2 linked regions of the Macaca fascicularis genome follow. The protein of the gene in region 2 interacts with the protein of the main gene of each other region in a biochemical or structural test. Links are inferred from orthologs where the notes say so. Each region holds a gene or a part of one and is shown on either strand. Other genes may lie near its edges.

Evidence for each region.
Region 1: of the proteins of PML (region 2) and RNF4, one has a biochemical effect on the other in vitro, tested with the Homo sapiens proteins (3 studies listed by BioGRID, with this or other methods). The link is inferred for Macaca fascicularis from reciprocal best matches to the Homo sapiens genes PML and RNF4.

The regions. Positions count from the first base shown.
Region 1 is NC_088379.1:2,631,059-2,635,379, reverse strand, and holds the start of RNF4 (E3 ubiquitin-protein ligase RNF4), read right to left. Parts: upstream 2,992-4,321; 5' UTR 2,866-2,991; intron 1-2,865. UniProt on the Homo sapiens protein: E3 ubiquitin-protein ligase which binds polysumoylated chains covalently attached to proteins and mediates 'Lys-6'-, 'Lys-11'-, 'Lys-48'- and 'Lys-63'-linked polyubiquitination of those substrates and their subsequent targeting to the proteasome for degradation.
Region 2 is NC_088381.1:50,921,971-50,925,779, forward strand, and holds part of PML (protein PML), read left to right. Parts: intron 1-352; coding exon 353-825; intron 826-3,809.

The sequences.
Region 1 (4,321 bases), on a different chromosome or scaffold from region 2:
CACGGGTCACATTAGCCCCTAACAAGAGAATCAGCCTGTCCTTTGAAGCCAGGCATTGATCTTTCTCTGGCTATGAAAGTCCTAGATAGTATTTTTTTTTTCCATATAAGGCTGTTTCATTTACATTGAAAGTCTGTTGTTCAGTGTGGCCACCTTCATCAATTATTTTAGCTATATATTCTGCATAACTTGCTGCAGCTTCTACATCAATGCTTACTGCCTCAACCTTACACTTTCACATTACAGAGGCGGCTTCCTTCCTTAAACCTCATGAACCAACCTCTGCCAGTTTCAAACTTTTCTTCTGCAGCTTCCTCACCTTTCTCACTCTTCACAGAACTGAAGAGAGTTAGGGCCTTAAATCTGGATTAGGCTTTCGCTTAAGGGAATGTCACGGATGGTTTGATCTATCCAGACCACTAAAACTTTCTCCCTATCAGCAATAAGGCTGTTTGGCTAATCATTCATGCGTTCACTGGGGTAGCATTTTAATTTCAAGAACTCTTCCTTTGCATTCACAACTTGGCCAACTGTTGTTCAGCACAAGAGGCCTAGCTTTTGGCCTATCTCAACTTTTGATATGCCTTTCTCACTAAGGTTAATCATTTCTTAACTTGATTTAAAGTAAGAGAGATTCAATTGACTGTTCCTTTTGTCTGGACACTGTAGGGTCACTGACTGGCCTAATTTCAATATTGTGTCTCAAGGAATAGAGAGGCCTGAGAAGAGAGACTGGGAACTGCCAGTCAGTGGAACTGTTACTAGACACCCAACTTTTACCAGTTAAGTTCACCATCTTATATTAGTGCTATTCATGGTAACCCAAAACACTGACCACAGCTCACCGTAACAGATGCAATAATGAAAAGGTTTGGGGCTGGGCATGGTGGTTCATGCCTGTAATCCCAACACTTTGGAAGGCCAAGGCAGGCAGATCACTTGAGGTCAGGAGTTCGAGATCAGCCTGGCCAACATGGTGAAATCCCGTCTCCACTAAAAATACAAAAATTAGCTGAGTGTGGTAGTATGTGCCTGTAATCCCAGCTACTCCGGAGGCTGGGGCAGGAGAATCACTTGAGCCCAGGCAGCAGAGGTTACAGTGAGGCCGAGAACATGCCATTGCACTCCATCCTGGGTGACTGAGATTCCATCTCAAAAAAAAAAAATGTTTGAAATATTGTGAATTACCAAAACTTGACACAAGAGACACGAAGTGAGCACATGCTGTTGGAAAAATGGCTGGCACTTACAGACTTGCTCGACGAATACTTGCTATAAACCTTCACCTTGCAAAAAAGGCAATATGTGCAAAGCACAATAAAATGAGGTATCTCTTATTCCCTCCATCCTCACCCAGCTACAGGAGGGCCAGCACCACGACTGTTGACTGCTGTAAGTTTGGCATACAGGACACCTCAAAAATATGCTACTTCGATCTTGAGGAGAGTGAAATATCTTACTCATTTTATGTACAAAGCACAGATGTGTATACATTCTATAAAAATAGTTTACGTATGGCATTAAGATTTCATGAAGATTAGAAAAACAATGTTTACAAAAGCTCCTTACAAAGGTAGTAATTTAAGATCAATAAACGATGTATTAAAGTAAGATTTTTGGAAGCTCAAATTCAGGCAATACAAAAGCCAGCAACACAGCTTGCTACTCAAATGTCCCTATTTCATCTCAAACTCACAGTAAAACTGAACCCAATGTATCCTTGTCCATTAACAAGTAAAACACCAAGAAAACAACAAAACATTCCCTTCAATGTCTCTTTTACTGTCAGCGGTCCCAAAACTCCTGGTCACCGAATTCAAAAGCCTAATCCTGCAGTTAAGACTTAATCTCATCTGCTGCCAAAGAGCCGGCTTTGTGACCTTGGGCAGACTACCTCACTTTTCTGGACCTCAGTCTCCCCAACCACTTGGACACTGTAAGTCAGATTCCAGAGCTGAGACCCAACGTCTGGCTCAAGAACTTCGTGCAGAAACAGAACAAAAGTTATTAAGACTGTGAACGTCTATGGGAACCGACAAGTGAAAGACAAAAGCTGAAATCCCTACCAAAACTGCTTGCCCAAGCTCTATCCTTTTCCCTGTTTCCTCGATGGATCAAAGGCGGAAAAGCGGTGTTTACTAGCAACTCTTTTTCGGGTCTTGAGAATCTTCATACGCCAGCCTACAGGCGCGCCAGAGGGTGAAGGGCCCGAGCGGTGCAGGGCTGGGCCGCAAGCCTCACAGTCACACGTTCCACCAACCATCAGCCGGGGCCCGGAAGCGCGTCCGGAAGTCGAGGCCCTACCAAGTTTTAGACTGCGACCTCGGCGCCCCACACTGTCAGTCCCGCACCCGTACTCAGATCCTCCCGACCTACAAAAGGCCCCGCCATGCGGCCCGGGCACCCGGGCACCCGGGCAAACTCGCAGGCCCCACGATGGCGGGGCGGCTGCACGAACACACAAAGGAGACGTCGTCAGCGGGGAACAAAAACCCTGCCCAGGTCTCCCCCCTAACAGCACACCCTGCCCGACTCTCCGAGTGACCTTGGGGGCGTTCCTGCCCTTCCCAGAGCCTCAGTTTCCCTTCCTAAGCTATGGACTAAGCCCCATGGCCGCGGCCCGCCAGGGTGAGCCGAGACCCAGACGCAGGCCTCTTAACTTCTGTCGCCCGCGCCAAGCCGGGTTAGGTGCGCCCGCGCGGAAGGCGGTGCGAGCGGCCAGAGCTGGCTCGAGGTCCCGGGCTGCGGAGTCTCGGCCGGGTGGAGCCGCGCGGGCCGAGGCCTCTGTAGGCCGCGAAGCCGCCTAAACCTCGCATCTGCACAGGCCCTGATTTGCCGCTGCTTCCCCGCAAAGCCCAGCCTAACCTGGAGCTAGTTAAGTCCGCAGGCGCCGCCGCCGTCGCACTCGAGAGAAGAAGCTGCTTCTCCAGCCGCCCAGGAGAGCCCCTCGAGAAAGATGCCGCCGCCTCAACAGCAACCCACTTCCGCTTCGGAGGCCTCGGCTCCGCCCCCCGCCGTGTGCCCATTGGCCGCCCGCCTACCCTACTTCCGCGGTTGGCCGGGTAAGGACAAATTTTTAAATCCTATTGGATAAGAAAACCATCTGTTACCACTTTAAAGCGCGCCTCTTTCCGCCCCCGCCCACAATCGAGCGCCCTAATTCGCACCTTCCGGCAAGAGACGGCGCGGGAGCGGCCCCGCCCGCAAGGCCTTCCGGGAGTCGCGGTCTCAGGGCCGACCGGGCTCCTGTACCCGGCTGCGACTGACTGTCCCAACGCCGCCAGCGACTGCCCGCCGACTGCCTCCGGAGCCGAGCGGGCCCCGAACCTTCCCATTCCTAGTTTTCGAACCGCACACCAGCTGCCGTGCCCCTGGTTCGACGCAGCTGGCCGGGACGCGGAGCTGGTAGTTCGTCCCGCCCGCCGTTCCGCGCCCCTCTCCTGGCTCTTGTTTCCCCGCCTCTTAACGATGCCTTTGTGAGGAAGGTTGCTGGGCCTGGGGACTATGACGATCGGCTGGAAACCAGGCCTGGCCCTGTTTCAGCGCCCCCGCGTGCCAAGCCCTGGGCCGGCGTGCGGGTGCCTGCCCCTGAGAGGAACCTGGAACTTTTGCAGGCTGGGGTGCAGACGTGTACCTAACAGATGAAGAGTGTGGAGGATTGGAGGACTCAGGGCAGCACGGCACAGGTGCATGCAGGTCCCCGGTCGGACTGGAGAATGGGTGGTGGGTTTCTTGAGCTCCAGTCCCTGAGCTGGACTTTGACGTGGGTTTAGCAACCAGGAAAAAATCCCACCTTGTCCCTGCTGCCTGAGAATACCCAGACCTTAGTCCATGGCCAGCATCTCTGGTCCCTCGGCACCCCCAGGCAATGTGAAGGTCACCCCAAATGCCTTGGGTTGCATTGTTTTCTTACACTGAGTTTCTGTTTGTTTTGAGATGGAGTTTCGCTCTTGTCGCGCTGGCTGGAGTGCAGTGGCGCGATCTCGGCTCACTGCAATCTCCAACCTCCAACCTGGATTCTCGTGATTCTCCTGCCTCAGCCTCCCGAGTAGCTGGGATTAGAGGCGCCTGCCACCACACCCGGTTAATTTTCTTTGTATTTTTAGTAGAGACGGGGTTCCATCATGTTGGCCAGGCCAGTCTCGAACTCCTGACCTCAGGAGATCCACCCTCCTTGGCCTCCCAAAGTACTGGGATTACAGGTGTGAGCCACTTCGCCCGGCCACCGTACAGTAAGTTTCTAACCTCGAAAATGGAGTCAAATAATGGAATGACAAGGCAGATAGAAACCAGAGCATTAACGTTTTTGCGTTGTGTTTAC
Region 2 (3,809 bases):
CTTTGATGAACCCCCAAACTGTGCATTAAGCACTTTATATGAGGTTGGTACTTACTGTATCTACCTTCCAAACTGAGTTCCTTGAAGGCAGAATGTATCCTATACCTCTTATATCTCAGGGCCTAGTACTGTGTGTGATGAGTAGATGCTCAATAAATGGTGCAGTGAGAGCAGGAGGGCCTGAATAAGTGGGAGTATTGGGGTGCTGATAAGCCAGGGTTTTGCATCATCCAATGACTGGCTGGAATGGAATATGAGGTCCTACTCCAGGCTCCAGCTGTAAGGGTGGTTGGCCAGTGGGTGGGGGCTCTTGGGACTTCTCCAGGCCTCACCCGCCTCTCTGGTCCCCCAGCAAGCCCCCTCTCCGGAGGAGGAGTTCCAGTTTCTGCGCTGCCAGCAATGCCAGGCTGAAGCCAAGTGCCCGAAGCTGCTGCCTTGTCTGCACACGCTGTGCTCAGGATGCCTGGAGGAGTCGGGCATGCAGTGCCCCATCTGCCAGGCGCCCTGGCCCCTAGGTGCAGACACGCCTGCCCTGGATAACGTCTTTTTCGAGAGTCTGCAACGGCGCCTGTCGGTGTACCGGCAGATTGTGGATGCACAGGCTGCGTGCATCCGCTGCAAAGAGTCCGCCGACTTCTGGTGCTTTGAGTGCGAGCAGCTCCTCTGCGCCAAGTGCTTCGAGGCACACCAGTGGTTCCTCAAGCACGAGGCCCGGCCCTTAGCAGAGCTGCGCAACCAGTCCGTGCGTGAGTTCCTGGATGGCACCCGCAAGACCAACAATATCTTCTGCTCCAACCCCAACCACCGCACCCCTACACTGACCAGGTGAGTGGGCTGGCACAGGGTGGGATGGTGCATCCAAGAACCAGGTAGAGGTGAGAGGAGCAAAGATCCAAAGAGTCACACAGCTGAGGACAAGGAGCTTCTGGGGCCTTGCAACTCTAAATGTGGTCTGCAGATATGCAGCATCCGTGGTGACGACCGCAATTTATGCTGCCAGTCCCCACGCAGGTGGATAGTAAGTTTCCAGTTTCCTCCTGTAATAAATAATGCTGCAGAATCATCTTTGCATTGTTATCCAGTAATTTCTTCAGGATAAATTTTTAGAAGTGCCACTGCTGGCTGTAGGGGGACAGAAATTCTACATTTGATACATGTTACCAAACTGCCCTTTAGAAAGTCTTCGAGTGAAATTTTCCATGAGCGCTGACAGAGAATCTCAGTAAGGCTGGATTCTAGGATCAGAGGCAGGTAGGTAGTTTCTGTCTGAAAAGTTGAGACCATTAACACCAGGCAGTGCTATCTGAGAGTGTCTGTATGGGAAAAAAAAATCACATCCAGTTGTAATTGTTTTTATTAAACAGATTTTAATTCAGTTTTTTAATAGGTAATACATTTGTACAGTTCACGAACAAAATTTATAAAGAGGAGAGAGAGAGTGCAGTCTTCTGTCCATCCTCAACTGTCTAATTCCCACCACTTCTCCCTCTTCCCATCCACAGGTAGTTTTGAATGTTTCTTCTGAGAGTTTCTTTATGACTATATATGCAGGTAGCAGCAGTCTTCTCAGGTCCTATTTTCCCTCTTTTAGCCAAAATGGTAGCATAACTATGTGAACTTTCAACCATCAGAAATAGATTGTTTATAGAAGGCTCTTCTTGGTTCTTAGGGATCCACTTGCAAAATGGAAGCATTTTTCCCTTGTTTTTGACAACTCAGAACTATATATGGCTAAACCACATACCTGCTAAACTACATATCTGCTAAACTGAGTGTGGTTTGTTTCCTGCTTTAGGATAAACTTCCCCCACTATCAGAATAAGCTTTCCCCTCTGACTTCTCAACAGCTGGTATCACCACATTTCTTAGCTTGTTGTAAAGGTTGAGTGGCTTTCCACTTGTTTATTGGCCATTGTGTTTCTTCATTTGTGAATAGCCTGTTTAGGTCCTTTGCCTGTTGTTGTTGTTGTTTCCTTTGAGGAATTAAGGGATTAATTAAGGAATTCAGGAACAAATTCCTCGAAGGAAAAAAATTTATGCGTTTCTTTTGCTCTTACAATTTGTGCAGTTTTAAAACTTACATATTCATTGGATTTTGATTGAAATTGCAATAAATTAGGGGAAATTGGCTTTATCTCTGGTTATATCTTTTGGATTTAAAAATTTTTTTTAATTTTTTTTTTTTTTTGAAATAGAGTCTCCCTGTATCACCCAGGCTGGAGTGCAGTGGCGCGATCTTGGCTTACTGCAACCTTCGCCTCCCGGGTTCAAGCAATTCTCCTGCCTTAGCCTCCCAAGTAGCTGGGATTACAGGTGCATACCACCATGCCTGGCTAATTTTTTGGTATTTTTAGTAGAGACAAGGTTTCACTATATTGGTCAGGCTGGTCTCCTGACCTCAGGTGATCCACCTGCGTTGGCCTCCCAAAGTTCTGGGATTACAGGCGTGAGCCACCGCACCCAGCCTTATACTAATTTCTTAATGAATTTGTAAGCTTTCATGTTTTGAACATGATAATGAAGCCATCCCACGGGATCCATGGGAGACTGGTTCAAATTCATAGATGCTCAAGTCTGTGATATAAAATGGCATAGTATTTGTATATAACCTCTACACATCCTCCTGTATGCTTTATTTTTTATTTTATTTTTATTTTTTGAGACAGGGTCTTGCTCTGTCGCCCAGGCTGGGGTGCAGTGCTGCACTCGTGGCTCACTGCAGCCTCAGTCTCCTGGGGTTCAAACAATCCTCCCACTTCAGCCTCCAGATTATATGGGACTACAGGTGTGCACCACCACGCTCAGCTAATTTTTAATTTTTTTTGTAAAGACAGGGTTTCGCCACATTGCCCAGGCTGGTCTTGAGAATTCTTGGGCTCAAGCAACAACCCTCCCACATAGGCCTCTCAAAGTGCTGGGATTACACGTGTGAGCCACTGTACCCAGTCTCTCCTTGTATACTTTAAATCATCTCTAGATTACTTATAATGCCTAATACAGTGTAAATGCTATGTAAAGAGTTGTTTTACTATATTTTTGAATTTGTATTATTTTTTATTGTGGTCCTTTTTTTTATTGATTTTTTTTTCCCTGAATATTTTTGATCCAAGATTTGTTGAATCCACAGGTGTGTAACCTGCAGATACTGAGGGCCAACTGTACATATAAATTGTTTAACATAGTGCCTGGCACATATTAAATACTCAATGAATGTTAAAATTCTATTATAATTTCTCTGCTCTAGAACAGTTTGAAGAATATAAGAAATTTAAGCTTATAAAAGTTTTTTGAAAAACCATCTTGGAACTGGTGCTTTTTTATAGTAGATTTTTGAGAACTTTTCCCATTTTTACCATGGAATTAGTCTGTTCTGGTTCTTGTGTCAGATTTTTGGAAAATTTTCCAGTTCATCCTGAGTTATCTTTCATAATTTAAAAATCTCAGCCAGGTGCGGTGGCTCACGCCTGTAATCCCAGCACTTTGGGAGGCCGAGGTGGACAGATCACGAGGTCAGGAGATTGAGACCAAAGTGGCTAATACGGTGAAACCCCATCTCTACTAAAAATACAAAAAATTAGCCAGGCATCGTGGCGGGTGCCTGTAGTCCCAGCTACTCGGGAGGCTGAGGCAGAAGAATGGACTGAACCCAGGAGGCAGAGCTTGCAGTGAGCCGAGATCGTGCCACTGCACTCCATCCTGGGCGACAGAGAGACTCCGTCTCAAAAAAAAAAAAAAAAATCCTCTATGTCTGTAACTGTACCCCCTTTTTTTATTTCTGATGTTGTATATTTGTGGTTTAGTGGTCTTTT